2 linked regions of the Lytechinus pictus genome follow. The protein of the gene in region 2 interacts with the protein of the main gene of each other region in a biochemical or structural test. Links are inferred from orthologs where the notes say so. Each region holds a gene or a part of one and is shown on either strand. Other genes may lie near its edges. The genes, in order: ras-related protein Rab-22A-like and early endosome antigen 1-like.

What was found.
Region 1: the proteins of early endosome antigen 1-like (region 2) and ras-related protein Rab-22A-like form a complex in vitro, tested with the Homo sapiens proteins (2 studies listed by BioGRID). The link is inferred for Lytechinus pictus from reciprocal best matches to the Homo sapiens genes EEA1 and RAB31.

Annotation. Positions count from the first base shown.
Region 1 is NC_087246.1:66,112,071-66,129,249, forward strand, and holds the start of ras-related protein Rab-22A-like, read right to left. Parts: upstream 9,609-17,179; 5' UTR 9,534-9,608; intron 7,958-9,533; 5' UTR 7,948-7,957; coding exon 7,876-7,947; intron 6,637-7,875; coding exon 6,565-6,636; intron 1-6,564. UniProt on the Homo sapiens protein: The small GTPases Rab are key regulators of intracellular membrane trafficking, from the formation of transport vesicles to their fusion with membranes.
Region 2 is NC_087247.1:72,228,399-72,245,871, reverse strand, and holds the start of early endosome antigen 1-like, read right to left. Parts: upstream 6,936-17,473; 5' UTR 6,921-6,935; coding exon 6,825-6,920; intron 5,628-6,824; coding exon 5,553-5,627; intron 4,597-5,552; coding exon 4,539-4,596; intron 3,819-4,538; coding exon 3,712-3,818; intron 1,407-3,711; coding exon 1,320-1,406; intron 1,084-1,319; coding exon 1,025-1,083; intron 520-1,024; coding exon 379-519; intron 1-378. UniProt on the Homo sapiens protein: Binds phospholipid vesicles containing phosphatidylinositol 3-phosphate and participates in endosomal trafficking.

The sequences.
Region 1 (17,179 bases), on a different chromosome or scaffold from region 2:
CGGGCCCATATGTCATATTATGAAGGTGATGTAATATTAAACTTTTAAAAATTAATTGTCGAAATGAAAACACCTTTGCTTTACAATGTACTCTTCAACTACCAAAAACTAAAATATTATGTGTATGCTAATTTGTTATTATTTTTCAAGTGACAGATATTTGTTGAAAATGAATAAAAAATATTATTCTATTGTTCTTATAAAGAAATACATGTACCACCTAAAAAATGACATTTCAGAGGTATACGCTTCCAGTCAACCCAGTGCTCTTACATGCCCTTTGAGAAAACTCAGATGACTTTGTATCCTTTTTCCTTGTCCTATTCCATGGATTTATGATTATTTAATCTAACATGGGAAAATTGCAGTACAGAGGTGGTGGGAAAACAATTTTATGTACATATCATTTCCACAAACACCATTTAGGAAGACTTTAAAACATGATACTAAAAAAAAGAGGTGGAAGTGACAACATTACTTATCACTTCTACGAAAACTAATCGTAATGTCTAGAAACAAAATTGTGTATTTAACAGAGAAGACAGTGGAAATGACATCTTCAAATATCATATCCAGAATTTCCACAATAATAGTATCAGACGTTCGAACTTAATATGGTGACTTCCTCAATTCCTTTTCAAGAATAACAAAAGGAAATTACATGCATCACTTATTACTAAATTCAAAAAGTAAAGGCTTGATTGGCATACAGCTGTTGGCATATCACTGTGAAACAATTTTACAGTAAGTGTAAAAGAATGTATGCAAGACCTCCCATTTTAAACAAAATAAAATACTGTATTTAATTGATGTTTTTCAATGATTTTTTTTTTTTGCAGCTTTCCTTTTAACCAGGCCAATTGTCTTAACTTTCATAATTTCCCTGTACCTAATAATATGTTTTGTGCTGAAGATACAGAAAATTTCATTAATATATATTTCTATATTTACAAGTGAATCCATATTATTATTCATGTGCACAAATACCGTATTCGGATGCTGCACATGCCATGCATTATTGTACGTTTGTATTTCATACATGTATATATTTTGAAATAAAGCATGGATGAAAATATATACTCCAAAGTTTTTCTGCAAATTCTACAGATGAGGAAAAAAAACTATGAATTTTACAAATTTATCTGCACCCTTCTTTTTTTTTGGGGGGAGGGGGTAGTACATATGTAAAATTCCATTTACATTATTGGAGCCAAAAGTGAATGAATACTAGCAATTTTGTGACATCTTCAGCTCCCCTGTCAGTATCCTATTAATAGTGGCACTACCAAGATTGTTACAATTGATATGATCAACCATGTTGTCATGTCTCAGTATGTGACCAATCCATTTTCTTTGCCCGTCTTTAATTGTGTTCAGAGGGTTTAGTTCACGTTTCTCCTATCATAACTAGCACCTCTTCATTTGACAGTCTCTCTGACCAGTTGATTTTAAGCATGCATCGCAATATCCACATTTTGAATGCTTCTAATCTCTTACAATCCTCTTTTCACACAGAGTCCATAGAGAGTGGAACAGTCACACCAAGGAAACTGACTCTAAATCAACTAATACATTAGTCACATCTCCCCTACGGCGGCCGTACGGCGAGTCACAAACAGCAATTTTTACATATTTTGTACAAGCTATATATAGGTGGTTTGAATAAAAATGAAACCCGCTGTTATCGACTCGCCGTACATTCACCATAAGGGAAATGTGACTGAGGTATAAGGGTATGTGATTGGATTTGGTTGGTCTCAACTCAGTGTGAATGTGGTACAAGACGATAGGTAGGATAGAAGGCAGAAGGATTTAACAAGGGAAGGAAGTGCTCAATTGCTCTCTGAAAGTAACAGAGGTTTTCAGTTACTTGTGAATGTGGTTCATAGCATCATGGCTTTACAGCAAAAATTATAGATACAGTGGAAGGACTAACGAAAATTCACAAATTACAGTGTAGTTCAAAGCCTGGAGACACTTGTATGTAAAAAGCACACAGACTTGCCATAAAAGGGGAAACAGAATGTCAATCTCGGCCAGAGGCATGGGGGGGGGGCTCATTTGACCACCCCTCTCAATCGGTACCTGACTAGATATATTCAGAATATTTCCAATCAGCAGTACATGATCTACCGCAATAATAAAAACAATGAAATATACAAGACTCTCGTCTTGACTGCTTGACCAGTTAGTTGGATTGTTCATGGAAACTTTTTTTTTGGCATTTCTTTTTATCTTTTTCTCAATCATATTTCCTCAGGTAAATTACAAATAAAAGAAATGGTGTATAAAGTAGGTCGGCTGTTCCGAGTCACAAGGACACTGTGACCTAGGAATTGGTCCAACCTGAGGCTGACACTGTCAAAATTTAGTTGAAATATGGCCTCAGCTTTGTCCCCGACTTTTAAGTTGGTGACTCTTTGTTCAATGGTTTCTACTGTAAATTAGTTAATGAAGTAAAACAAGTTTGATTATTTATCTAATTATGACAACCATACAAATTCCAAACTGTTGGTAAAGGTTTTGGGAAGTCCTTTTTAAACTTAAATTTCTATGAACTAGGATGCAAGTGCTAAAGGACCAGGGGACCTGAGAATAACTTAGAGCCACTTACATGTAACCCACAGTGAAAAAAAAAAAAATAAAATAAAGGATTTTCTACAGCCTGAACACCAGGATAATACCAGAATACTTTTTAGTAAAAAATATTGTTCTTAACTACCTGAGAGATTGCTAAAGGCTTGCCTAATAGAAATACAGCAACATTCATTAATAAACTAAGAAATAGTTCCTTATACGGCATGCAGGAAAGAATATGAATTTTCAGTATTTGGAAAACAGGCCAATTCAGAATTTTGCTTGGAAAATGGCATCTAGAAATCGCCATTAAGCCAATGCAATATCTTTTTTAATGTTATTATTACTTTCACTTTAAAATATCAAAGAACACGATTATGAGCCAACAATAGACTATTAAAACATATCAATGATAATGGACAGATAATCGTGAATAATGATGACAAATATTTATATTTGCAGTTCCATCAAAGCATACACACTATCATGTGACAATTTTAGTCATGATCGATTATTAATAGAAAGTTGATTCACCTTCTCTCCTCATCAGGATTATGTGTACAGTCATAAAACCAGTATTGTTAAAAAAGTAGGGAAGAATTTTCCTATTATCTTCATATCTTGGTATATTTGCGAAGCACTCTTAATAATTGCTACAAAAATTGTCTTATTGTTTTTTAGGTGTGGGGGCATCTTGGTCTAGTGATTATGACTTGTCTTTCAATCTGAGGGACGTGGGGGGGGGGGCAGTCAAATGTATTGCTGTACACACGCGTGGCCAAAATATTTTTTAAACACCCCCTAAATGAGTTTTTCTCTGTGTGCAAAATAACCCCCTAACAAGTTTTTTGCGTGCTTTATTTACACATTTTGCCCCCTAAACAAGTTGTCGCCAGAATATGACTCCGGGAAAAAAGCTTGGGGAAAAAATACCCTTTAATAACATGTTTGGCTAGTCTTACTCTTAAAAAAAAAGCTTTGGAAAAAAAATACCCTAAATACATTTGACCCTGCGATTGACCATTGACCAGTCTTTTAAAACTACCCCTTTTTTTTTAATCAGTGTTTTTGATACCCTTAACGAGTGCACGCGCGGCCCGCGTCCAAAACTGAAAAATCACCCCTTTAAACACGTTTTTTGCTCACACGTGTGTACAGCAATATATTTGACTGCCCCCCCCCCCCCCGGGATTTGATTCCCAGCCATGGCATGTTTTCCTTCAGCAAGAAATTTACCCATATGGTGCTGCACTCAACCCTGGTGAGGTGAATAAGTTCCCAGTAGGAAGAAATCTCTTGAATGCCAGAGCGCCTGAAGGCAGCACGGCTATAGCCGGGGCAATAATAATAAAAACATTTTTTGTAATGCGCAGTTGAGTATATAATATAGAAATTGTGCAATAGTAAAATATTTTATGTACTTTGTTGAAATATTCCCCCCCCCCAAAAAAAAGTTTTCTTCATGAAAATATGTATTTTTTTTAATTCTCATAGATGTGTTCATTCTGATATGATTCAATAAATGGTATGAAACTAAATGTAAAGTGTATTCACTACCTTCAACCCTGTATGATATGCTAATAATACACTTTATTTCTTGTGGGTTTTTTACTAGAGTACTGGTTTACACTTTGCAATCTATGATACGTCTCAATTTCAGTCAACCAATCATCCTGAGTTACAAATACACATTTTTCCCACTTATCTCCATCTTCGGTTGTAATTCAAATCCTGTGTACGCCTCCAGTCTATAGCGACATAATATAGACCCAATACTGCAGCATGCATGCTTGACAATAATCCAGTAATCATCACAGTGTAATACAGTTGCATAGCTTTCACTTGAGATGGTATCGTAACCAAGCAAGCTTCCTTTAGACTGTACTTTCTACTCCATATTTCAAGAGCCACAGCGGCCTATTTCAGGAAACAATGAATGACTCATTACTACTGCAACGACAAACTACCTACAGTTAAGAGCAACATTGGACAGAGTCATCAGGCAAGCTTCCTTGCCGGGTGACAGACAGAAATAAAACTTTGGCAGGAATGCAAAATGTAGGCCAGATCACTCAACAAAGAAAACAGATAAATAGCCTGTATACATTGCAGAGCTACTGCATTTGTTTCACTGCCAATGATCAAGAATAAATTTTTTTTTATAGTAATTTCATTTAGGCTGACTACTAATGTGCAAAGCACTGTCTACATCTACATTATCTTCAGAGACGCACAATACCGTTTATAAGAGAAAAATAAAAACAAAGGATAATAATAGATTATAAAAATGGCATGATACATGTAGCATAGAGGGGTCCTCCAGCCTGAAAATAATCACATCGAAAAAATAATTAAATTTTAAATTTCTGCAATATTTTGGGAAAACAGTTATGCTTTCATGAATACACAATAGGTGGGATGGTGATGTTACTCTTTCCTTTTCAACTGAAATCATATTTTCATGCAGGTGTGTAAAACTTGTCTCCTTTGTAATGAAATCAGTTTCACTAATGATTATTTTACATAGTGAAAAATAGTCAATCCTGCTTTTATATTCTTGAGAGACATAATGTAAAAAAATAATATAAAATTGAGGAAATGATATCATTCGTTAACTCATTGCATATTCATGAGGACATGCATAGAACTGCTTCACTGAAATAAAAAACACTTTATTCTCATAACTTTGTGAATCCTTGTCCAATTATGATGTCATTGGTTTCATTGGTTTGATTACTAGATTTGCCTGTTTTTTTTGTTAAAATCACTTGATTTTTAGCCTTGAAGGAACCTTAATTAGTCTTTTCTTTCATCTTATACAATTTATAAGTTGCCTTGACTACTGATTTGGAATTGACTAGAACTGTATTAGAGTGTGATGAACATGCTACTACCACAGTGCCACACTATACAAATAAAAATATGATATACGTCTTGCAAGATCCTGCTGCCATCTTGATTAATGTCAACAGACGCACCCATGTATTTCCTTAAAATTTCTAATTGAACTGAATACAAAACAAATACCATCATTCAATGCGATGACAATAATAATAGTAGATTATTTTTATTTCCTCATTCAGTGGTTGTTTTTGTGTTATTTATCATACCCAATAACAAAGTTCAGCAAAATTTTCTCTACAGAGTCAATGGAAAATTGAGCAATAAGGTTTTTTTTTTTACCTGGCTGCACATATGAGATCACGAGTTTGGACAACTTTGGACAGAAATCTGTTATATTTGAAAGTTGATGTGTACAACAAACTATTATTGTTGTGGGGGTGATTTGTCTCATCAGTCTGAACACTAAATATGTGGCTGCAATTTTTCACAATTCACATGCCCAGTTCAATTAAGTACTATGCTTCACCCCCCCCCCTCCAACTCGCATACAGACATGGGTCTTAAAGGCAAAAGAAAGGAAAAGAAAATGATTAAATATGAATATCATGTCAAAGCCTATAACAAATTTACAGTTTGTATTAAAAAGGTGGAATTTTTTTACGAGTGCACTAGTGCTACCATGCACCGAGCAAGGCCAGGCTTCTGGTAGTGCACTTTTGCACCTGGCAATGTTAAATGTTAGTAAACTAATTTCACCTCAATTTTTGTCTGAATTAATTCCCAAGTATCGATTATCATCAAACACATCGAGCATCAGGAACAGCTTCATTAATAAAGTTTAATTTGGCTTAAATTTTGATGTCAACATTCGAATTCTCAGTCAGAAGCCTTCACTTGGCTCCACAGTATACTAGTTTTGATATGGGCTTAAGTTATTTGACTATTGTCCTGCACGCCCGTTCACATAATTTTGTGTCACTTACTTCAATCCATATCGAAATTACAGCAAAACTGCAAAGGCAAAGTCTGACTGAGAATATGAAAGACAACATCAAAATCAAATCCAAAATCAAGATGTTCCCGATGCTTGATGTGGTGCACTTTGCTTTGAAGAATTAAAGAAGGTGGAGTAGATGAACTTACTTGACTTGTGATATCATAGACCACTATTGCTGCTGCAGCCCCTCTGTAATACATGGGTGCTAAACCTCGATACTGCAGGGGCAAAATAAAAATAATAGTTGTGATAAAAGAAAAACACTTCAGTTCAGTAACCCCCCCCCCTTCCTCCCTCTCAATTAAGCATTCAAAGGTTAATGTACACCACAGCTACAGTTTGCTATTCCCTAATAACACTTAGCCAACTTTCAACATTTTCTAATAAATACTATATCCAAACAAACAAAAAAATACCCCTGAGAATTGCCACACTCAGAATCATAAAATAAGCAGAGAGAGACTCTCTCATCCATTGTCAGTGATATGTACTGTATACGTGTATACAAGCAACATTTTATTATTATTATTATTATCATTATCATTATTGATAAATGATGCATATTTGTAAAGCTTGGATATCATTCTCTTCACTTTGATGTGACTTAAAGGAGATTGAAATCCCTTGAAACCAGTTGAATTCAGATAAAGAGAAAATCTAAGAAACAGATCAATGAAAATTGAAACTTTGAATGTAGAAGAAAGTTATGAATATTTAAATTAAATAATGAGATGCAAACAAAATCTGTGATGTCACACATACAACTTCTCCATTACTTTATTGAGTTTTTATTCCATATTTTACTTAATTTTTTGGTCTTACATCTAGTCAGACATTCTTTTTTTATGAGATGACATAAAATAGATGTTTCACAACATTATACCATGAACAAATTGTATTGTATGTTGTATCATTGACATGAACAAAAACAAAAAAGATTATGGGTATATTTTCAGTGTCCAAATGGCATTGCCAATAGAAGGATCTCCATAGCAATTGTGATTTCAACGTTCGAATGATCATACATGTATGTAACCTTATACTGCTTGTCTAATTTTACTCAAGAATTTGTTGATATTCCTGTCTGACTTTTTCTGCTAAACATATGAAAAGGAATTGCCAAAAAACGTGATCTGAATTTCTAAGTAAACATCCCATTTCCAAGAGTTAATTTATTACCTTTTAACATGAAAAGATTTTACTGCATAACTGCCTGCCATAATAACAAACAAAGAGTTGCAATCATAATTTTCTCTCGCTCAGTCACCACTCAACAGTTATTAAAGTCAATTTTTGTTTAAACTTCATGAATATTTGACTACTGCATGCAACCAGGGGAAAACAAAAATTATTTTAAATTATATAAATTAAACATTACCAAACAAACATTACTGTGCTAAAATTCCTTGTGTGTTTTCCTGTTTTAAATGTGATATGAAAAGACAAAAGGACTTTACCTTTTCTTGACCTGCGGTATCCCATATTTGAAATTTGTACATTTTTTCATCAACTGCTAACGTCTTTGACATAAATGAGGCACTGTAGGAGAACAATAAAATATGTAAGTCTCATTTCTAACAATAGAAAAATTGTGTGACATTCGCTCACAATTTATTGAAATTTCATATTGAATAATAAAAAAAGTACATGTAGCAACTCTAAAAGCAATGAGAAAATGTCTGGCACTATTATTATGAACTTGAACAAGAATGTAATGATTGGAATTTCAAGCTCATGTCTTTACCAGTCATTTCTTTTTTTTTATTGTATCTAGAATATTAAGTTCTTTTTTAATTTACAGAGACACCTTCCTTTTATGGATGAATGAAAATCTAGTTGGCACACATCATTTGTTGCTACGCAATATGCATAGCAAGTCATTAGTAATTTAGTAGGCTATTAGTATCAACCACAATGGTCTATATTTTTTATATAAACTTATACTTTTTGTGCATAAAGCATCTAACACAGAATGAATACTGGGAAACCAGTCAATTTAAAGATAAAGGTCATTAGAATGGGGGGGGGGGGGTACAGTAAAAAAGAATAAAGCATGTTCAAATGTACAATGCAAACAAGTAGAAATAAGATCAAGAGAACAAGGTGGTAACAGGGGGAACAAGAAAATGTAACATGGAAAACAAACAAGATGGGGGAAGAGGAGCAGGGGAAAGAGGAAAAGGATGATGAGGATAAGGACATGATGGATGGATAAGAAATACAAGGCAAAAGCGATTTTGTGTCTCGCCCACTTATGAAAATAACCAGAAATATCGTGATTTGCGAGGGCACGCAACAGAATTGTATCGAAACTTCATTGTGAAATGACTGGGATGGAATAACACTTGTCTTAAGAGCCTTGCACGTAAACTTTAATGTTGACCTGAAAATGACCTTTGACCTTACCATGTGACCTCCAACGGCAGCATAACATGCAGGTCCCCCAAGCCATCTACCATCCAAGTTTGGTTGAAAAGTGACTTACGGTTGCGGAGTTAGGTGTCATAAGAGTCTTGCATGTAAACTTTAACATTGACCTGAAAATGACCTTTGACCTTACCATGTGACCTCCGACTGCAGCATAACATGCAGGTCCCCCAAGTTCATCTACCATCCAAGTTTGGTTGAAAAGTGACTTACGGTTGCGGAGTTAGGTGTCATAAGAGAGTCTTGCATGTAAACTTTACTGTTGACCTGAAAATGACCTTTGACCTTACCATGTGACCTGAAAATAACCTTTGACCTCTGACTGCAGCATAACATGCAGGTCCCCCAAGTCCATCTACCATCCAAGTTTGGTTGAAAAGCGACTTACGGTTGTGGAGTTAGGTGTCATTAGGTTTGTGACGGACGGACGACGGACGGACAACATTTGGATCCCTAAGTCTCGCCTTCATCGAGACAAAAAGGAGAAAATGATGAATTGAGAGGAAAAAGATGAAATTCAGGAAAGTAAAAGGGATGAGAATGATATTAAGGGGTAAATGATGAAAATTATTGGAGTGGTAAAGGAAGAAAAAGAGGGATGATAAGGAGAACAAGATGGATGAGGATAAAGAGATAATGGGAAAGAAGGAAGAAACAATAGAAGGTTGAAAAGTTGTTTTTTACTCACCCTATCGTCGGAGGGATGGATTCATAATATGTATCACTCACAAATCTTTGAACTATACTTGATTTACCAACTCCAGAGTCCTAGACACAAAAATGAAAAAAAAAAAAATTCCAATAATGAATGCATTATTAAGGACATTGGCAAATACAGAGGGGACTTGGAGCATAAAACAGTTCCACAACCAAGAAGGAAAAGGAAAAAAAGGAGAAAAAGAAATATATAAACAAAAACGAAAAGGGTCACTTGAGTTTCTTAATATCATTAATTTATATATAAACTATGAAAATTTTGGTTCGGTCTCTTTACTCGCACACAACTTTAAAGATATATGCCCCCTTACAATTTTTTTGGCTCATTACACCTCAGATACTGAGATCATAATGATTCAAAGAAAAGGCTGTTAATCTATATTTTAGAGATATGCCAGGCTGGGAGAAAGTAGGAATTTAAATGGAAAGTTGGCCTGACCATTACTACTTCCGAGGGGCAAAACCCCAGAGGAAACTTTGGTACACAATGTGCGGAGTGTATTTCAGCATTGAGGTTGGCCCTCCATCCTCCCCACCCCCTTCACCTTTTTTTCTCTCTTTTGAAGAGTAAACTTGGTAAAATCACACGTTGCCAGGGAGAAAACTGGAAGCAGTGCCTCAAACCTCAGGATACTACATATATACTGCATCTCAAGTACAAGAACACATTAGGAAGCCCCTTAATTGCTTTAATGAGTCAACCACGCTTAATTGCCAAGATTTGTTTTACCCCTGCTGTATGATATGTGCACACATGAGTGGATATAAAATCTACAGTGAGTGAATTGTAAATGCATGCAGTACAGGGTCTGGGACTGAGACATGACTGCAGATTTGTCACGTGACAGAGGAATGTTGAAACAGCTCCTACATAAAATTCCTCACAAGAGCCATGTGAGCAGTTTGCTTTATAAAGAGTATGAATATAAAATACAGATACATGTAGTCTGATAGATACTGATAATTACAATATACATGAACAGTGTAGCAAGAAAGTTTGAAGAACATAAAAATCTTGCCAGAGGCATGACAGACATAGCAACTGTAAATATGATAGAAGTATTGGAAGTTCACTCATTTATCACAAAAACTGTTAAAAGTTTAAACAGGGAAAATATTCTCACATGCAAAGAAATAGAATGCAGAGAATTAAAAATATTTCAATGTGATGATGAAAAGCTATACATGTAGGCACAAATAATCATGACAAATAAAAAAAAATTCAATGTATCATATCATGATTTTGTCTAACCGCCCTTTCACATGGTAATTTTTTTTTAATTTGAATGATGATTCAAGTGGAAAATAAGGCTAATGACAAATTTTTAGCACGTGTGAAACCAAACTAGAACATGATGATTAGAATCATGAACGCTAATCACAATCAAGAATTCAAATACTATTTTGGAGGTGAATTCCAGTTAAGTTTCACTAAAATTACGGTACAAATTTTGTGAGTGATAGGCTTGACCTCTAAAACATCTTTTGGAGGGGCGGAGCTTACGTGACCTTTTATGCACTTCCATAGATAATACAATTTATGCACTCATCGTAGTTTGTATTTGCGATTCAGTGCTTTGATTGACAAGTCACCAAGAACACATACAGCCTTTGCTCGGGAATTCGAATTCAAATCAAAGTTTTCGAGTGAGCGTGTGAAAGGTTCGATGATTCCAAAGACGAATTGCAATCATCATTATTGAAAGAAAAAAAAATTGCAATCATCATTACAATGATAATTCAAGATTCACGTGTGAAAAGGCCCTATTAATGGTATGGTAGTTTAGAAGCTAGATAATTACATTATGAAAGCACATCTTCATGGTTCATGAAGCCCAGGAAGTCATGTCTCCACATCTATGCCAGTGAGTTCCTTCTCACAAGTCACATCTCTTACAAGTATAGGGGAGGTGATAGCCGAATTACATGTATTGCATGTTTACACCTACATGCACATGCAACAGGCAGGGGGGAGGGGTAATAATAACATTATCATGTTAAGCAAAGGCCCTCGCGAGGCCAGTTTCCAGAACTGAAGTGGCTACCCTGTGTTGTTGTTGTTGTTACTGTTTATCATTATTATTATTATCATTATTATCATTATCATTATCATTATTATTATTATTATTGTTATTGTTATTATTATTATAATTATTATTATTATTATTATTATTATTATCATCATTATTATCATCATTATTGTTATTATTATCATTATTGTTTTTGTTGTTGTTATCATCATCATCATCATCACCAGGTCATCAGTACTATCAACATCACCATCATCATCATCAGCATCATCATTACTACTATCATTATTGTTGCTGTCGTTTCAATCCCCATCCCCCCTTGTGATATTTCAGATAATGAAAGAAAATTTGAAAAAATAACAGGCAAAAAATATAGTAAAGTTTACTAAGAAGTGTGCTCAAAGGCTGATAGTTGATCATGCATGTCAAATGTTTACATGTAGGGTGTTGCACCATCCATTGACCATTAGAGTGGCAAACTCCTTAACATGTCTTTCTGAATAGTATCAAAGAAGAGGACAATTTCTGCTGGGATAAATAAAGAGGACATATCAGACCTAATTTATTATCATCTTCATTGCTAAAATACAGGGAGAATTCTTTTCCAGAGACCAGATGATGAGCTTTAAGAACTGGAGTGAACTGCAATAGATTAACTTGGAATCCAGTTTGCACTTATTGCTTTGTCTGACAAGCCTCAGACAATCTGTCAGGCTTTCAAGGAAATCTTTTGTCTCAAAGAAAATATCTACACAATAATTTTGAAAGTGGACATGTCAACAGCATATTGACCAGAAATCCTGCATCATACCAGGGACGTGAGAGGGGTCCCTGATCATACAAGCTGCCCTGTATCTTATTTTGCTGTGTCCGACATGGTTCCATGCCATACAGGTATGCTCCTCGACAATTGCACAGTCTACTGAAAATGCACACATTACAGTAAGCCAAATATAAACTTGAGCTTCAAACCTGACCTTACCTAACCTTAATCCTTATCCATGCATGATTCTGAACCAAATACCTTATAACAACTCTAACCTCACCTTACAATCTTCAGAGAAATTTTCAGAGGAGCAACTGTTGTATGAGCACAACTCATGTTACATTTTCACCCACTCCACTATACACCTTTTCCCTTCAATTGTCTTAAAAATTTGAAACAATGAACATCATTTGAGGCAGACTTTGACTAACTATATGCATTTAGAACAAATTAGATGGAAAATGGAAAATATCAAGAAGATATCCCTCAGCAAAACAAAATGTATCCATGTGTGCTGCACTCGACCCAGGTGAAGTATGTGTCTTCAATAAGGATTTCTGAATTCCTTGAATTAACAAAACCAGAACAAAACACTACCAGGTGATCAAGCCAAAACAAGATTAAAAATAGGCTACTATGAATTTCACAAGAACCACCAAACTTCAGGAGCTACCCTTACATTTTAATACATCTCTCCCAGTCCCAGATTTACTTTGTCGCAACGTTGATGTACTTGAATTGGCCCACTAGTAGTGACATAGTCTGCAGGCACTTTGATCAACAAGTGGATCTCCACACTTAAGACTAGCACATATAAAACTTGCAGAGTGAGAGCGCCTTCAGTAACCAAAGCATTATAGGCTGCACATTCAGACCTTTAACTTGAGAATGGTTTGCATAGCAGACTACATACTATAGTAGTGACATTTACAGGTTGTTTATTATGGATTACCCCATGTCTTCAATTTCAAAATCTAGTCATCTTGGTTATCCACCTATTAGGAAGGAAAGAACCCTTGGCTGGAATACACCTTTACATGTGTATTAATCAATCATTCATTCAATAGACTTTCAGTTGCCTGTTTGCCCTTTTTTGTATTGGTGTACACTTTATTTATTGGTATGTCATTTTAGGGGACTAGCCTTGATAGGCCTTCGGCCTTTGCTGGTCCCCTGCATCCGGTACACGTATCTTGTGCTTTTCATTTGTTGTAATTGTTATCTCTAAATCTGTATTTTGCTTTTTTATCCCTTGCCTCTTTATAATATTTCTAAATATTGTTTTATCATGTTAAATGTATGATTTCATCTTGGATGCAAATAAAAGGCCATATGGGTCAAATAATCAAACATGTGTACTTGCCAAATGCCTTGTAGATCTCTATGAGAAATGTGTTCTTGATGAGGGCCTAATTATTTTGTTGTTGTTGTTGTACATCATTAATCACATGTGTCATCATCATCATCATCATCATCATCATCAACATAATAATCGTCATCGTCATCATTATAATAATTGTTATCTTCACCATCTTCATCGTCATCATTCATACACAGTATCCCCAGCAGTGACACATACTGTTCTCCCAGAGGGCCCTGTTTTCCACATATATGATCAAGGGCGTAGGCTGGGGGTGCACTAGGTGCATGTGCACTCTCCCGCTGAGGCAGAGGAGTGCTGACACTGGCAAGCAAAACAAAATTTGTACCCCTTCTTCTGCTTAAAATAGCTGATTTGCCAAAGTTTAGTTCCGCCTCCCTTGGATGTGAACCTCCCCATGCTCAAACCAGAATACGCCCTTGACAATTCTGATATTAAAGGAGAATGAAACCCTTGAAACCAGCTGAATCCATATCAAAGAGAAAAATCAAAGAAACATATTGTTGAAAGTTTGAGGAAGATTGAATGAATAATAAGAAAGTTATGAGCATTTGAATATTGAGATCACTAATGCCATGTAGATCTTCCCATTGGCAATGCGACCAAGATCTGTGATGTCACACACGTACAACTCCCTCATTACTTTAGTACTTATTTCACTTATATTCTCACTTTTATAGTCTATCACAAGGTGAGGTGTTCTCTTTATATGAGAGGACAAGTACAGAGGTTTCACAACATTATATCATTGATGAATCGTTTGTCATATGATTAGAATGAGCAAAAAGAGATGTTTTGGGGTATATTTTCAGTGTCCAAAAGGGGAGAGTTGTTCATCTGTGACATCATAGATCTTGGTCGCATTGCCAATGGGAGGATCTCCATAGCATTAGTGATCTCGACATTCAAATGCTCATAACTCTTCTATTGCTAGTCCTATTTTACTCAAACTTTTGTTGATCTTATTCTTTGATTTTTCTGCTTTCACAAAAGCTAACTTGCTCCAAGAGTTTCATTCTCCTTTAATACACAGATTCTACCTACTGCAGAACATGCAGAAGCTGGAACTTCCACAAATATTGATCAAAATACTCAGAAAACAATTCTGTTCAATAGTGCTACAAATAAGCTCAAAATAAATCTCAACTACAAACAAAGACTATTCAGATTGATGGGTCATATCAATGCTGTTCAAAAATAGACCATCAGAGATATTAGATAGGGAACATTCTAACGCCTTCACCACAAATGCAGCTACAAGTAAGGTCGATTCTTTTTGGATCAAAGAGAAAAAATGACAAACTCTCATGCTTCCCTTGTGAGCCTAGAGTTGACGTTTTGCGTCACATTTCATTACCAGTCTATTATGACGTCCCTAACTAATTGCTCCTTTTTATGGAAAATCTGTGACTCATCTCGCCCACTCCTGGCTGCGTTCCTTTGGCCATCCTGCCATCTGAAGACGCAGTCCAAACTAAACTTGTCATCGAACTTGTCACTGACGTCAAATGGAATGCTCTTTCTGCTCATTCATTGAGTAAATTAACCCCCTGATTTATCCCCCTGGCCACCCCCACAAGAAGAAAAATCTAATTGAATTTCTAGTCCTTGATTAGTTAACCTACAAGTTCTTTGTGCAACACAGGGCTTGGCAAAACAAAGAGAATGGCTACACTTCTGGACCAACTTAACTGATTCAGTATTGAGAAAGTGTCACATTGAATACTCTACCCACAAAGTTGTACGTCAGTGGATGATAAAGAGGATTTGTAGCTAATTTATAAGTTGTCTGGACCTATTAATAGTTTTGTTGAGAAGGGGCCAGAATGCCAGATGGCTATCATGTGAGACACAACAAAAGGGGCTGTCATACCCTAACATTTCAGCTAGTGTACAGTTTGCTAATGTACATGTATGTATGGCAAGTCATTTCTTTTTATTTTACCTTTTTTCTTGACCCCAAGAATTGCTATTGTTAAATATACATGTACAAATAATTTTCTTGACGTCAAGAATTCCATTACTTGATAAATTAAGTGATATAAATAAAATGATATTAAGAAATGGGAAGAAGTGTTAAAATGGTTTACCACACCCAAAATGCATTGATAGAAGTTGGCTGAGCTTTCAAGGTGTGACGGCCACTAAAGATATAAGTACCGTTTAAACTAGGTAATCAAATGTCATTGAGAGTACATAATTGTCATGTACTTGAATAAATTCTCTCGATGATCAAGCATTTATACTGTTGTGTAGGCCTAGACTCCTTCATGTATGCACAATGTGCATTCTATTTTACATCACCCATTCCCAAATACATGTTATTAAATATGTACACATACATGTAGTACACATACACGTAGTACAATGTTATGATAAATAAAGTAATGAACAAAGCGACCAAATAATGAAAGCTACAATAAGTACATCCATACTATTGGTGATATTTTTAACTGAAAGTCTGAAACCATGACATTTTAGGTTTATTCTGTGAAAAACTGCAGACGGGCACACATGAATGCTGTATATTTATCTACAAAATTCATTCATGTAGATGTAATCTATTTTGACAGTGTCATTACAGTACCTACATGTATTTGACATTTGATTTGGTTGGACTGAAGAGCGTCAGGAGTACCACCTTTCAATTTTCTTAGAACACAGGATATTGATTTGTCCAACGATCAGTGATGGCCTGACAAATATGGGGATTTACCTTGCCAATATAAAGTTTTCCTGTACTCAAGTTGAGTTTACACAATTCTTTTTCCTCCTAGAACCAGTTTTCTTAGACATTTATAGCCCTTATTCTGGAGTCTGTTGTAATTTAGGCCATGGTCTAATAGGAAGCCAAAAATTTCAATATTGTACTACTACTTGTACATATATACGTGCATTATGATTCCTATCTTTACCTGGCTCTTTCCTCACCATTAACAATAAATAGAACTCTTTCAGTAATTATTCGCAGTCAGTTATGAATGATCATTTGAGCGTCAAATCACAAATTAAGATCAGAGTTTGAACTAGACCCAAGTTCAGAGTATGGACCATTAAATCATTTTTAGTTGGTCATGAAAACAAACCTCTTTTCTAAGGATAAACATGGAATACTTTAACAAAAGGTGAATATTTCAACCCAATTCTAAAACCATGTTCATTGAAAGTCATTTATTGATCAGCTATTGAATTCCCTCAATGCCTCTCTCATTGGCCTTGGGGCTTTTTTTAAATTTAGTGCCCCTTCTTGTTTTTCAAAATTCTTCTATAATATTAAAATTGCCCTATAGAAAATCGGTCTTACCCTAAAAGTATGATAAAGAATTGTAGCTCTAGTACAATTGTAGCCCTAGTTCCCTAGTACTGTAGTTATTGGCTATTGGTTCAGAGTTTGAGACAATTCTTTATTCTGTGTACATTTAACAGTTGAATTTCACACA
Region 2 (17,473 bases):
CAATGCTATAACAATCAAACCTTTTGTTTTCATTAATCAAAACTAGATTGAAGTCTTTGAGATGATGAGAAAAACCTTTAAGATTAAACCTGACACAAGCTTGTTTACTGTTTGCCGTTTGGTTGCAGGATTTCAGTTTCAAGTCTATGAAAAGACCAGCTCAAACTATTTTCCATACTGTATTAAAAGAAACATAAATTACACAAAATTATAAAAACATGGCCATGAAGATGAAGTATCTATGTTCATTAGGGATCAACAGTACATTAAATCCTAAAACAAAGAGCATGGAAGTTACATTGATGCATCTACTGACACACATTGTCTCTGAGGACAATATTGAGATTAAATAAATAAAAAATATATTGGTAAACTTACTCTTCATTCCTTGTTTTGAGTTCACCACACTGTTTCTCTAGCTCCTTCTTTTCTGCTTCAGCTTCAAGACTCATCTGGTCCATCAAAGTTTGTATACTAACCAACTCTTTCTTTAAAACTAGGATGTCATCATCAGCAGTTCTAATGTAATATTTGTTTCGACAAAATATATTGAAAAATGATGAAGCTTGTTATCTCAAAATAATAATACTCACTCATGAAGCAAAATTCAAGCAATATACAAGATATGAGCTCTTAAAAAAATTCCAACAATTATAAAACATAAATTTATCACCATTATAAACCACCCAATAACACCATGCTGCCATTGTTATCTGGTCAGACACATACCGTATAATCAGAGGAGGAAGGATAGATTTTCATGCAAAAGCTTAATGAATCTTTCCAAGACTTATGATAAGCAAATTAATGTTTTTATGAACAGTGTGGGCCATGGTCTGTTGTATTCTCTTACTGTCACATCTATTAATATCAGTTCTAGCAACAGCATCATTTTATGTTTGGTGCTGGTGTATTAACTAAACCCAATACCAACAAACACCATTGAACTAGGCGCGTAATTATTTCATGTCTAAATATTATCATTCATAGTGTACTTCATGCTAATTTGTGATAATGATATTACCTTTGTAATGCTTGTGATTCCAATACCTTGATTTGATTTTCCCTGTCCCTCATCTCAAACTGAAAGTTATAAAATGGATTTAAAACAGTCACACACAAGAATAAAATATACAAATTCAGAAAAATCATGATGACATTCTTCTTGTTTACCTATAACTCTAATATTTCTACATAATATCAACAAGAGCATTAAAATTTCATACAGAGCTCCCAAATTTATCAGGAGCAGTTGATTATCCTGCTGTATTTTCATAGTAATAGCATAATGGCTAAGAAAATACAAAATGTTGACTTACTTGAGTGTGTTGCAAGGTTTCTTTGAGAGCTAAATGATGTCCTTTCTCTTCATCTAGCTCTGCTCGTATTGTAGCAATATCAGCTGCCTATTGACGTCAAAGGAAAATACCAGTCAGGACTTGAAACATACTATACTGTGCAACAAATTATCAAGTCTATAGAATAGAATTAATGCCAAGAACCATAAGCATTTTCAATACCAATTATTTTCTAACAATACTGGTTTACATGCTGTATTGCTTTTACATGGGTGCCTGAATGGCAGACATGCTAAAGTAAGCATAATGATGAAAATTAGCTGCTTGAGTACTCCACACAGTAGAGATAAGAACGCTTCATATGTTGCATTATCATTATCATTGTCTTAATTACTAATACTATATCCCTATAATTCAATAATATTTTACAATGGAGTTTTCATTTCATTCTAACAAGGCTATTTCTCACAAGGAATCAGTGAGTTAATTCTTTCAGTCTCATTCTAACATAATGTTAGGATAAAAAAAAGGAGACAAGTTAAATGCCTCTGGAAGTCTTGCATGCATCATGCAATTCAACATTTTAGGACTGTTGACATTATGATATTGAAATATGTAATATTTTCTATTTTTCATTTATCACTGGAATACACATCTAACAATCCGAGGTCATGAGGATCAATGCTGTGGATGCTTTGTTTCAAGGATTAAGGAAATTAATGGATATGACCATTTGCTTAAATTTTCATCTAAGTTTTTTTACATGAGATGACCTATGACCTTGATCGAATTACCAGAAATTTTACTCACATCATGGCTAAAACTCTTTATACACAATTTTAATGCGCATAGAATGAAGCTATTCCTTTGTTGAGTATCATTTGTGATATCCAATTATCATCTTGCACAAGTGTCATTTGCTTTTAAAGTGAGGACAAAATAAAAGTTCTTATCAAAGTTAATTGATCTCAAATGAACTTTGACTTTGACCAAGTAACTTAAGATTTATTAATCATGCTCATTTGATTTGGGATACATGTTAACCATTATATCAAAATGTATTACGCATCAAAGACTTGTGTTTCAAAAGTATCTGATAATTAAGTTTTTGTTTTAAGTTGATACTAGTTAACTGACTTCATATGACCTTTGACCTTGGCTTAGTGACCCGAAACTATATTCATCTATTTGCTGATAATCAATAATCATTACATGTATTTTTGTATGGATTAGGGACTTTTAATTTTTCTTAATTATCTTAAAAATTCAAAATATTTATAATATTGATACTACAACATGGTCAAAGGTAGTTTAAACCAAAATGACCTTTGACCTTAATTATGTTACCTGAAACTCATGTGACATGATCAGTGGTACTTCAATTACCCTGATGTTCAAGTTTCATGAAATAGGTCCTTATATCTAAGTTAAGATGACATATCAAAAACTTAACCTTGGCTTAGATTTGATGTTGATGATGTCATCACCAACGCCATAGCCACCACCACTGCCGCCGCCACTGCATCTCGCTTCTGCTATGCCAGCGATACATCAAATAAAACTGGGGCCGTATTCTAAAAATTGTCTGAATAAAAATATTCTTGTATCTTCAGAGTTAAAATAACATCCGAATTCCGAAAATTCTTGTATCTTTTCTTGTAACTTTCACTCAGTGTGTAGGATGTCAGTGCAATAATGATGCGTAAAGTTAGAAACAACAAATTCATATCTCTGTGCGCAAGATAACATATTGAGATAAAAGGTATTCTTAAAATTCTCTTATCTTTGCATCCTGAATAACTTCCTTGCAAAATGCAAGAAACTTTATAAGAGGTATGGGGCTATTGTGACTTAATGTTGCATGTGATATTTCTCTGTCAAAAATGATAATTTCTTGCTGCATCACACAAGAACATCAAGTTATACAAAAAGAGACATTTTGAAGACATATCAGAGACGGATTGGTAGACTTTTCAGCAATCAAAGATTGGTATTTGAGATGATGTATCTTTTTGGAGAAAATATGACTGGGATAACAGCTACATGTACTTTTTAGCACAGTAGCACACAAGCATAGCATCAGGGGCGCAAGAGAAGTTACGCCTCATGTCAACAATGCACTTTTTTCAGAAGAGATGCTTCTATTGGTTGACCTTAGCATATAAAAAAGTTCAATGATTGGTTGATGATAACATATTGGGGCATGTCAGAGATAAAATAAGGGAAGTCCTTACAGAGATAAGACAATTTTCAGAATACCAATTTGACAGAATTTTAGCGAGCTGTTATCTGGCTGAGTTAGAAAAATATTTACAAGAAAAATTATGAGGATTTTTTAGAATACCACCCCTGAATCTTTTTCACGAAGAGTGGAAATTATCATAACATAGAAGAGAGATGATATTATTCTTACCAAACTAGCAGCCTTTTGCTCCATTGCATCTTTGATGGTCTTATAATTAGCTGCTGTTTGTTTGGATTCTGCTAAATCTTGTCTTAAAAGTACAACCTCAGAAGATACTGTTTGTATAATCATGAATTAAAGCAAGTAGGAATAATGAGCCATGTGTCATTTGACAAAATAATATTTTAAGCTGATGTAATGGCTTATCATTGTATATTGTGATGTCGGAAAATTATTGCATTCAGGGACTCATTAAAATAAGAATCACATATATAAGAAACACAAATCTTGAAATAAATTTCCATGTACTCACAAACATACATAAGTAAAAATTTAATTGTGATAATTTTTTCAGAGATGATTTTATATATATGCCTATATCCTTCGAAAGGGCAAAGTCTATGAATGGGTTTATTCCGTCATAATACACGAGACGAAGGTAGAGGGCGTTAAGGTGCATTATGAACAACGAAAGAAGACAAAAATATTTGTCTTAAACACAGATGTAGAGAAATATATATATATATATATATATATATATATATATATATATGACTGGACAGTGTGTGGTACTGCATATAATAGTAAATTACAGTTGATATATCAAACAGAAAAAAAGGTCTGCACAAATTTTTCTATAAGAAATAAGATAAAATAATAAAAATTATTATTTTGATATTTTTTCTGGTCCTCTCTTTCCCTATTATTCAGTCACATATGGATTCCTTTAACTTAATAATTGTTTTTCAATGTCGAATTTATACATCTTCAAAAATTATAACAAGTAAGCTTTACAAATTTTGTGACAGCTTCAAACACAGTAAACATGTACTTACAGAGTGACCTGCTCTCCTCTGACTTTTTCAATTGCTCTTTGAACAAATCTGTATCATCCTGTCAAAATATTAATCAAATAACATGCATAATGAAAACAATTATATAAATGGTGTCACAATTAGTAATGTATGATTCATATAAAGTAGTATGTAAACGTGGTATATGTGAGTGAGTAGTTTGATACATGTATAAACACTATGTTACAGCAACATTCATATACCATTAGTGTGCTCAAAATATTAGTGTGAATTCTGTTTGCCATCTGTACGAAATGCCTACATTTTCTTGACATCAGCTTTGAATTTTTATGAAGACAAAATATCAAATTGAAGGGACAGTTGCTTTTCTTGAATGCCAGATTTTAAAGTGGGTATTATAGTCCATAATGATTGTAATGAAGTCTGCAAAGTTTGGTTATAGCTTCCTCTAACTCTCCATTGCAGTCACATTAAAACAGAAAATGAATTATTGTCAGGTGTTAAAATGATCAATTAGTATCTAGCAACAGTATACCCTAATACTTTGTATAAAATCTTTTTTGCTGAAGTAAAAGAATATAAATTCTTCCAAAATATATTTTAAAAAATCCTAGTTAGAGGTTCACCCCTGACGAAGTTGGTTTTTATACAAGAAAGAAAACAAATTTAATGTCATGTGATATAAATTCCATTAAATGCTATTTTCTCTAAAATTGCTTCACCTGTGCATTCCACATTGGACATCTTATCATATACAAGCTTCTTTAAGAAAAATATTTTCAGTCACCAGGAACCATAACAGGATTTTATGGAATTTATAATTACACGGGACATCTAATTACTTATGATGTCACAAAATCAAAGCTTTGAGAATTCATGACTCTCTTATGGTTTGGTGGATTTTGCTCATACCTTCAAATACATATATATTTTTTTCCTGCATTTAGTAAAATACACTTTTCATAAGGGTAAACTTCCTCTTTAACTGATATTTTTTTTAATCTAGGCTAAAATATTTGTGTACAATTGGCTCACTATTAACATAGGCTCTTCCCCAGACTTTAATCTGTCCACTTCCTTCTTCAACTCAGTAGCATACCATTTTTCTTCCTTCAGAGAGAAACAAAAGACAAACATGCAAAATAAACCACACATGCATATTAAATTAGTATACCAAGCTGAAAAAACCCTGTGCAAAGAAATAGAGGGGCAGCGAGAGGGAAAGAGAAAGAAAGCGAGAGAAAGTGAGAGAGAGAGTGATAGAAGCAAGGAGGGAGAAAGCCAGTGGGCTGTACTATGCTTAAGAGAAGCAACCCGGGGGGGGGGGGGCCACTTCCATTCACGAGTGGATACTATGCGCGACCATGGGGTCTCGAAAAGCACCCTAAACACGTAATTTCCATATTCTGAAAATGCACCCCTTAACAAGTATTGGCGTGTGAAACCCTACCCTTAACAAGTATTGGAAACAAAACGATACTCTTGGCAAATATTCCCTGAAATGAACCCCTAAACAAGTACAGGAATGTTTTATTGTTACGGGTCCTTCGGTCGTCGGCTTTACCTTATTTGGTTTAGTACAACCCCACCTTCTACACCTCGCGCAAATCGGACTCTAAACACGAAGTGTTGGGGCAAAAAGGACATCCTTTATAAAACATCTTAATTTTGTTTTATCATCCCCACAAATTCGACCCTAAACATGTAATTTTCTGAGCGAAATAGATACTCTTTTTTCATTATTTTTGTGTTTTTGACACCCTTATCACGTTACGTATGTAACGTGCCCTATCGTGAAAAAGACATCCTTTTTACGTGTTTTTTTGGTCGCGCATGGTATCCACTTGTCAATGTAAGTGGCCCCCCCGGGAGAAGCAATCATACAATTATGACAATGGGTAAAATAAAGTAAGCACAACTGCACAAGTACATTCCATGAGAAGAGGGAGAAATAGGGGAACAACTATAGACAGACTGAGAGTAAGGAGAGAAAGGCGAGGGGGGCAGATATAGAGATAGAAAGAGAATGAGAAACAATAAATCTTTAGATCAAGCACAAATTCAAAGCATAAAATGCAAGCTGGTATGCACTAAGGATACATTTAAGAAAATATTTGAACCATTTCTGAAGTCATGAGGTAGAAAAAAGGTCTGAATATTCTTTCTTTAATGAGGGATGGGTTTAGAAATATAAAGAAATTAGGAATTAGGAATTCTAACTCATCCTTGCAATCAAACCCCTTATGACATGACTTAATACCTGTGCTCCTTTAAACTATAAATTCTGCAATCTTCAATCTTGCTTACTTTCAAAGAGGTCCGTAATTCACTGACTTCCTGGCGTAAACTCTCAAGATCCCCATCCCTGTGTAAGAAATTAAAAAGTAAAGTGAGAAGAATCATGACGCATCTACAGGAATATAATGTACAAATTATTAAGATTAGATATAAGATTTTAAAGAAAAATAGGGCCCTCTGGAGTGGCAACTAATCTCGGTTTGAAGCAAAACATTCCCTTGACTTGAAAACTATAGATTACATTTGCATTTGTTCTCAGGATATTATCGATATATCCATACATGCACATATACAGTGCGTATAAAAAAAAAGTTTACACTTAGAAAAAATCCTGTAAAATTATATATTTGTAATATCCTGAAAATTTTTCCACATTTAAAGATTGGTACAGATCCATTTAAGCAAATGACGATATAACTGTCGAAAAATATTTCCGCTTGAGTGAGCACCACTGACTTTTGAAAAGTTAGTGAAAAATGATTTGCGCAGAACTTTGAAATAGTTATGCGAATAACAGTAGACCTTAATCATGAAGAACACATGGAATTTAGCAAGTAAAATTGATTTGAAGATATCTTTTACTTTTTTAAAACTTGTTTCCTTGCCCAAAACACTTCGAAGAGTGCATTGCGCCCCACCCCACTCACCCACACACCGAGGCCATCATGATGATATTTGCTTTACACTGAGCTGTGATTTACATGAAATGGCTTAGGCTTGATTTTCATTTTGTAAATCATTGTCAAGCTTGGGAAAAGTGTGGAGAAACAAGTATTAAATAAAAATGAAATGTAAACCCACTTTAAATGATTATTAAAATGAAAAAATGCTGGAGATGTCTGATATAAACTTTTGTTCAGATTCAGTTATGTCCTCAGATCCAGCTGGCAGAAAAAGGGTAAAGGTTGTGCTTACTAAGTGTTGAAATTTCAATTTGGGTGGCAAAATTGTTACAAAATGCTTGAATGTATCCGTTTTATTTCAATTACTAAAAAAGCAAGGGAAATGTATGAGAAATGTTTCGCAGGGTAAGTTTGACATTCGCCCTTTCCTTTCGACACAGCGTGAAAACGAGCATTTCTGCGCAATCAGATTTCTGCGAGCTTTACAAAAATGGACAGTGCTCACTCAAGTGTAACATTCTGTCAAAACTTTTACTTTCATTGGATAGATGAGACCCAAACCCAACATTATATGTGAAAAAATTTCCCTCATGTGGTATATTTTTTAATTCCCAGGGCATTTTCAAAGTGTAAACTTTTTTTTGATACACACTGTATAAAGATCTACATCCACTAAGACTTGGCTAATTACCACTGTCCCGAACCAGGAGGGGCCACTTCCATGACGAGTGGATACTATGCGCGACCACGGCGTCTTGAAAAGCACCCTAAACACGTATTTTCCATATTCTAAAAATGCACCCCTTAACAAGTATTGGAAACAAAACGATACTCTTGGCAAGTATTCCCTGAAATGAACCCCTAAACAAGTACAGCGATATTTTATTGTTATGTCACGGGTCCGTCGGTCGTCGGTTTTACCTATAGTTACACACCATTATTTTGGTTTAGTACGGCCCCACCTTCCACACCTCGCGCAAATCGAACTCTAAACACGTAGTGTTGGGGCAAAAAGGACATCCTTTATAAAACATTTTGATTTTGTTTTATCATCCCCACATATTTGACCCTAAACACGTATATTTTTCCGAGCGAAATAGATACCGTTTTTCAATATGTTTGTGTTGTTTACACCCTAATCACGTTACGTACGTAATGTGCCCTATCTTGAAAAAGACATCCTTTTTACGTGTTTTTTTGGTCGTGCATGGTATCCACTCGTCAATGTAAGTGGCCCCCCGGGGGTCCCGAACCAGCTCTTTCGGCAAACAAATAATAAAATAAATGATGGCATGTAACTATAAGCTTACCGTTCCTAGAGATCCAATAGATATCCAATGCAGGCCCACATCACATTATCATTGATGGTTGTAGTAGACAAAGGCAATATTATATGAGATTAAAACATGACCAAAAAAATATTAATCTGTTATAACAGTATATGTTTTCTTCATCAAATACAATTGCAATTCTATTACTTTAAATTAACAAAATTTGAACTATAGATTTGTTTTTAATCTAATAACAAAAACAGAAAAAGAGTATATGGATGGCTTAGTATTGTATGGTACAGATAACAGAACATCTTTTTATCTAGGATTATACGTGATTAACAATAAATGATATTACACAATAATAACTTAACATACAGGTATTTTTTTTAAATAGTAATTGAATTTTATAACAGTGACAAAATACAAAAATAAGACACAATATAGATGTAGCTATCTCACATTGGCTTGGACAGAATTTGGGCGTGCAGCATTGGTGTTTCCTGCTGGTGATGCTACTACTTCAGGTTCCATGGCCATTGCTCCATCCCCAGAGATAGTATCATGAACTGATTCCCAGTGTGACCTGAGCTGTTCAGCAGAGGACAGTGCAACCATACAGGTTGGGCAGATGAATCCCTGTTGACCACAATATCAATACCATACTGAAGTATAGGAAATCAACCCCGAGGGGCCACTTCCATTGACGAGTGGATACCATGCGCGACCATGGGGTCTCGAAAAGCACCCTAAACACGTATTTTCCATATTCTGAAAATGCACCCCTTAACAAGTATTGGCGTCTGAAACCCTACCCTTAACAAGTATTGGAAACAAAACAACACTCTTGGCAAGTATTCCCTGAAATGAACCCCTAAACAAATACAGCGATATTTGTTATGTCACGGGTCCGTCGGTTTTACCTTTACACACCATTTGGTGCACGGCCCCACCTTCCACACCTCGCGCAAATCGGACTCTTAACACGTAGTGTTGGGGCAAAGAGGACATCCTTTATAAAACATTTTAATTTTGTTTCATCATCCCCACAAATTTGACCCTAATCACGTAACTTTCCTAGCGAAATAGATACCCTTTTTCCATTATTTTTGTGTTTTTGACACCCTTATCACGTTACGTACGTAACGTGCCCAATCTTGAATAAGACATCATTTTTACATGTTTTTTTGGTCGCGCATGGTATCCACTCGTCAATGTAAGTGCCCCCCCCCCCCCCGGGAAATCAACATCAAAATTTTAAATGACTGGAACAGTTGCAAAGCCACACATAACCCCCCTGGGGATGTCCCAGTAAGCAGTGGATAATCTAAACTGTATCTCACTCAGCCACACACAGAAAACACCACGTTCAGATTACCCCTGCTTACCGTGACATAACTAGGGATCTGTCTGTGGGTGAAGGATTGTATAAACTTCTCTGTGATCAAGCCAATCACATGTCTCTTAAGGACATGTGTAATAAACTGAAAAATGGTTGTTTAATCCCATCTCATTTTTATTGGTCTTTCTTTTGCCATTTTGTGACTTTGGATTCTGAAACCAATTGACATGAGGGGCTATATATCCGCCCTGTGATTAAACCAATCTCTTAATTATTGACATATGCTTCATAAAGATTATTGAAGCTAGCCTGTGTAAAAATAATTAATTTTTTTGACTGAGTGGAATTTGTGCAGTGCCCTTGAAAACTTTGATCAGTTTCTTTTGGAACCCAGTTTAGTTCACTTTCTACCTGTTCAAATTGCTTTCTCTCTGAAAGCAAATCAGATAATGTTCATTTAAAGACTTCCATATGTCCCCCTCCACTAAACCCTCTCTTTTGTTCACTTTTACTTTCTGTCTGTTTTTCTACTTCCGGTTGGATTCGAACCTCTGGATCGGTCTCCGATATATCTCTAGTTCGTCAGTTACCTCACTACGCTTGCAGTAATTGCTGAAAGCCTATGGTTAATTCACAGTTATCATAAGCCAATGTTACGACTTGTCTAGTCTCCAAGACTATAAAGTTATAGTTGCTTTTTTTTCTGACGAAATAAATACATGCAACTGGGAATTGCACACACTCGATAATTTGACATGCATGCATCCAACTTTTCTTTGCTAAATCTCTTAGATATTTGTCAGATATGACTTTATAAACCTTTTCCATAGAGAAAGGGATGTATGGAAGTCTTGCCATCAATTCATTGGCAAATACTATGGTAAGAGTTAAGCTGCTTATATTTGAAAGAAATATCATAAGGGTATTTGTACACCAACTTACCGATGCTTCTTGTTCTTCATAGCCAGAAGACCTACTGGGACTGTCAGGGGTAGCAGCCTAGAAAGAATTTCAAAGAGAATCCATGTAAGCTCTTAAATATATTACAAATCACCACCAGCAGGTAAAATATTTTTCTTACATTTAGCACGCTATTTGTATCATTTCATAAACTATTATAGAGAGAAAATATTGACAGTGTACATCAACCCTGATTTGTATTGAGATTTTATTCAAATTATGCTGTTTATTTTGTCTGTTTTCCACTGAGGTCCACTTTGAGTGAATTAGGAAAACTGGCACTCCAATGCAATGTAGAAAGTTAACACTGTTATACAACAGGCTATTAACAAAGTTAAAAAGGCTAAATCCAATAAATATTAGCAAATTTTTCTTTATTTTAACCCTAACTACATGTAGGCCGGGCTTTTTTGGCTGTTGTGTTCCGGGGGGGGGGGTCGAGATCTCGGCCGCCGATAGCGCGAGCGCCACAAAAATTTGCACGCTGGTAGTGTGCGATGTAATCTACAAGGCTGTATGGTAAAATTTTCCAAAATAATGAGATTTTATTTTTTATGAATTAATTATGCTAATTTATGCATAAATCATACTTTTTGCTCTAATTCAATAAATAAAGCTCCTAGAATGCTAATTTTTGGTAAAAATATTCTTTGTAGCATTCTTAACAATCGCAATTGAAAAAAACTTCGGTTTGGAAATCAATTTCTTATGTATTTTATTGTTTTATGAATTTCTTATGTATTTCGTTGTTTTTCAACCTTTTGTTTTTCTTTGTTTTTTTCACCAGATTTATTGCACAACCTTTTTGAAGCATAATTATGCTAAAATCAATTGATTTCAGCTGTTTAAAGTAAAAATAATCATATCTTTATGAATAAGATGAGAAAACTCAATTTGCATTGACTTTGTACACAAAATCACGTTTTGGAACAATTTTTGGTCTGACCAAGAAGATTCTATGACTGGAGTTCCAACAGGCAACAAATTTATTCAAGCAGCTGTTCATTTCTAAAGAAGCACAAAAAGAAAGAACGGCAATAAGGACCTTTTTGATGTCCGCCTTCGAAGCCGCCAGTTTCAATGAAGAAATCCGAGGGGTGAAATTTTACGAATATTTATTTGTATCAATTTTTCATGTTTCATATTAATAAACAAACTGAAATTTGAAAGCATGACAAAACATCAATAACCAAGCACTATTACGACGAGATATTTGCCCATATTATATCAATTAACCTTTAATTAGTGAAAAAAGAAAGAATTTGACCTTTATACTGAAACCGATCGTTTGCGGCGAATGAAAATTTCAAATGTGGTCGGTGGAATATTGTTATTCATTACTGTATATGCCAGATGAGTGCCCGCACATGCCCAGTCGAGCAAATTTGAGTCATATTTCAGGACATATTGCATAGTTTATTTTCGCATGCCTCCGAATTATGTACTACACATATAACCAGACCAAGATGCGGCGAAAAAGTAATTATCATCACAAAAGCATAATTTCCCTTTATGTATGACCTATAGCTGCGGAGTCATGCGGGAATCATTTGTCTACACAATTGCAAGAGATGTTGAGCAAAGTGCATGCCTGACATACTTTCTGCTGGCGGTTTTTAACCTTGTTCAAAGAGATTTTATTTGCTGTTACTCCATCTCATTTGAAACCTCCTTGGTCAGACATGCACTTACAAAATGTTGCGTAATTTCGGAAACGCGTATCCGGGCGTCGTAAATTTGGTCTCAAAAGATGCGCGAGACTTAAAAGTATAAACTCTGCGAGTGGCGCGGTCAAAAAATTTCGCGAGGCGGAATGATCGCAGAAAATGTTGAGGGGGGGAGTTGATTTAACCCCCCCGGCCTGTTTAGGGTTAAGTGTTTTAGTTTTTGACAATTTTGATTTTAAGAGAATCATCTTAAAATTATGGCAACTAGACTCTTCTGCTTTTTAGTTTATGTTTTAACTTGTAATTCATATTTCTCGGATCGTACATACCAGGGGGGGGGGGCACTCAGTATATATGCATGGCGGCCGGGTATGTGCCGTGGAGAGGACCCATTACGTCTTACCCCCGTTTGGGAACGGACCGCAGTTCGGATTGCAAACTGCGGTATTTCACCCCATTTTGCGTTTGAAAATCTAAAACATCATTTCCAAGCCCTGGGGGTCATTTCATAAAGCTGTTCGTAAGTTAAGAGCGACTTTAAAAACGACTGGTGATCATCGCCAATTGTACCATTTACCGCAAGACATGATCACCAGTCGCTCTTAACTTACGAACAGCTTTATGAAACACCCGCCTGATCAACCCCGCTTGGCCAGGTAATCCCCACAGGCCAGATTATGAGCGTTGAGCCAAGGACGAAATGATAACAACAGCTGTGCTATTACGTAAGTCTTCTCTGCCTGTAGAAGGACCTTCGGAATTAAATTATTGTATTCGATATTTAATCACGTTTTCAAAGGCATATTGTATTCAGAAATTCAATGCTAGCCCATTTTCAATTTCGAACAAAGAAAATCAACCTCGAAATAAGGAAAGTAAGTGAATAAAAAATGGCGACATGTTTTCCCGGACCGCACTCGGGCTGTTGTGTTATCTTCGGACCGAGGTCAAGAAACAGGTGTTTTGATACTTACATTGCATGCCTGGGGCAGTAGGGTTTTCGTACTTGGAGAAGAGGGGTATAGTGTTATCAAACGGAGCTCTTTCGTCATGTCCATTTTTACACTCTAATTTCTGTTCCAAAGCATAACATTTTTATCTTTTTGAGAAAAAGAACAAAGAAAGCTGTTCCAAAGCATAGCATTTTCTTCTTATATCAAGAAAAAAGAAGAAAGAAATCCGTTCCAAAGCTTTGCATATTTTTTTTTACGCTCTTCCGGCCGCATTGCGTCAATATCCGCTACAATAATCTGCCTTTTTGGTGAAAAGCAGCCCGCACAGCACTGTCTGACCATTGCCTCTGCGCAAGCGCCGTTCCATAGGGTTGCATATGCACTCACACTCAGGCGAATCGTTCCAAATCCAAGGACCCCCATTTTTACAAAAATTTGTAGTTCCGAAGACCCTCCTTTTTACAATAAGCCCATTCCAAACCCCTGTTTTTTGTCTCGCCCACGGCACATACCTACCACTTTTGTGGTTGATACCCTTGGCAAGTATTCCCTAAATTGAACCCCTAAACAAGTAAATCTAGATCTACAGCAATATTTTAATTGATATATGTCATGGACATTGGTTTTACCTTTACCATGTTTACCTACATGTACATCATTGGGTTTAATACTGCCCCACCTCCAACACCTCGCGCAAATAGGACTCTAAAATTGTAGTGTTGACTGTTGGGGCAAAAAGTACATCCTGCAACATTTTTTATACTCTCGCAAATTTGACCCTTAACACGTAGCTTTCCAAGCGAAATAGATACCCTTTTTTCATTACTTTTGTGTTTTTGACACCCTTATTACGTTACGTACATAACAAAGACATCCTTCTTACATGTTTTTTGGTCACACATGGTATCCACTCATCAGTGTAAGTGGCCCCTGTTAAAACCGATAATGTCGCAGCGATGCAATTGCGACATTATAATAATAATAATATAGGGCATTTATATTGCGCACATATCCACCTTGTTAGGTGCTCAAGGTGCTCCTATATTACCCGGCTAAGCTAGGCGTTCATAGCGCACACAGCTTTTTAAGGAATTACTTCCTACCGGTACCCATTTACCTCACCTGGGTTGAGTACGGCACATTGTGGATCAGTTTCTTGCCGAAGGAAATTACGCCATGGCTGGGATTCGAACCCACGACCCTCTGTTTCAAAGTCCGAAGACTAATCTACTGGGCCACAACGCTCCACATTATGCATTGACTGTGACATTATGCGTTGGATGCTTTTGGCATAATGTCACAGTAAACACATAATGTTGTAGCTTAAATAACTAATGCATAACATTGCAAGTCTTAACGCATAATGTCGCATCAGTATTTTATTCAGGAATCGAGTTGCAGATAAGATTTGTCTTCACTCAGTAATTTGTTCAAGCTCTGTAATCTGACCGTTTTTTTTTTAAGTGTGTTTAGAGGGGCAGGCGCGAATGCAGGAGGGCAGTATTGTATTCATTATGATGAAGAGTGGTCACTTTTTTTTAATTTAATATTTTATCGCTGTTCATGACATTTTAAGAAATAAATCATATTTCATATTGTAACTCGGAATGTACCATATGAATAATAATTTCAAAGCGATAGGTCCTATACCAGTTTCCCCTGGGGGAAAGGGGAGCACGTGATAAATTAATAACATGTTGGTACGTAGCGGGAGGGGGCAGAATTAATGCCCCCCCCTCGAAAAAGTAAACCTTCCTTTCTTACAGAAGAGTTTCACAAAATTCACTAAAATGTGCATGAAATCATTAAAATATCAGTTCTTAAGATTTGTTTTTCACATCCCCTCCTCACAGAAAAAAAAATCTGTGTATACTATTTAAAAAAAAATAAAGAACTGGGCATTACAATGTTTTACATAATGAGAGCCCCCAAGCAGTGGTGGCACCAGGATTTTGAAACTGGTGGGTGGCAAAGGAAAAGGGGGGGGATAAATTTATTTTGCATGTTTCACAAAATGGAGTGTTAAGCGCAAGCTTTGTGACTAGGGCGCTGGATCCAACTTTTGGGCCCCTGTTGGAGTCCAGGCGCAGAGCACGCATACATGTGTTTCTAATACAGAATATAAAGCAGAATTTTGCCAAAAGGGGGTGGGGCGCAGAACGTTTTCATCCATGTTTCCCCAATCGGCCGCTAAAAGCCATTTTTGCTGTTGGTTTATAAAGGGAGTAGTCCCAACAAACAAGAGAGGCTAACTCACACTGCCTGAATATATAATGAGAGCACGAAGCGGAGCTCAACTTTTTTGAGATTTGATGCATTTAGACTAAAGCAATAAACATTCTGAGTAGTTTTTGGCAGTATAAGAAATATGCGAGCGTGAATCGCGCACTAATTTTCTTAAAGGGATGATCCGGGCTGAAAATATTTATATCTTAATACATAGAGTAGAATTCACTGAGCAAAATGTAGAAAATTTCATCAAAATCGGATAACAAATAATAAAGTTATTGAAGTTTAAAGTATATAGCAATATTTTGTGAAAACAGTCGTCATGAATATTCATTAGGTGGGCTGATGATGTCACATCTCCACTTTCCGTTTTCTTATGTTAATACATAAAATCATAATTTTTTCATTATTTCATACTTGTGTGAATAAATGTCTCCCTTATAATGAAATAAGTTGCAGCAATAAATATCTAATGCACTAAATCAGCTGTTGTCAATCCAATTTTTCTAGTTCTTGGAGGAAAAAATTTGAATAAACCCAATTTCATATAATAAAATACAAAAGAACAAGTGGAGATGTGACATCATCAGCCCACCTAATGAATATTCATGACAACTGTTTTCACAAAATATTGCTAAACTTTAAAATTCAATAACTTTGTTATTTGTTATCCGATTTTGATGAAATTTTTGGCATTTTGCTCAGTGAATTCTACTCTATTTATTAAGCTATACATACTTTTAGCCCGCACCATCCCTTTAATAAATTGATGGCACATTTCGAGTAACAATACGAATATAATTTCTTTTTAAACTGTCATGAACAACAATGAAATATAAAGAAATTTGTATTTACTTTTCAGCTAGATGACCTTACTCTCTCACAAAATAAGTTGAATTGCATGTATAGCGATATGAACAGATGAATGGTGGTATGCGTATACTTGCATTTCACTAGTCCACACATTAATCTTTTTCAAAGTCCACCCCCTTCTCCTGACAATGAATTCGATACTGACCCCCTCCCCTGCATCCGCAACTGCCCCACTTGACCCGGGGACCTCGACACGTCTTCAGACAGTGTCGAGGTCCTGAATGCCACCACTCATTATCACCAGAGTACAAAACATCGCGATGTTTGGCATTGGAAAACCGATGATCATAATCAATTAAAAATCTAACAATTAGGATCAATCTTACCTAAACAAACTGTTCCTAAACCAGGTCATCTTTGAAATGTATATAATTCCATGAAATCCTTCAAAAGAGCATCAATTTTCGGACTTTTGTCCCAATCGCGAGATCGCCATGTTTGAGGTAACGTGAAAGAAGACTATGCGCATGCGCATATGAATATTTATAAGATGTTGTCACTGCCTTTACAACACAGTTTAATAAATATGCATGTAAAGAAGAGTGAAAACTTTCGGCAAGTCTTAGGCATATAATTCAATACCATTTTTTTCATTTTAATTTGGAAAAAAATAGATCTATATTTATGAAAAAATTATTATTAAAATGAAAAAAATGGATCTATATTTATGAATAGAATATTTATTTCATATATATTTTTATTTTGTTACATTTTGTGTTTTTTATGATAAGTTTTTTATT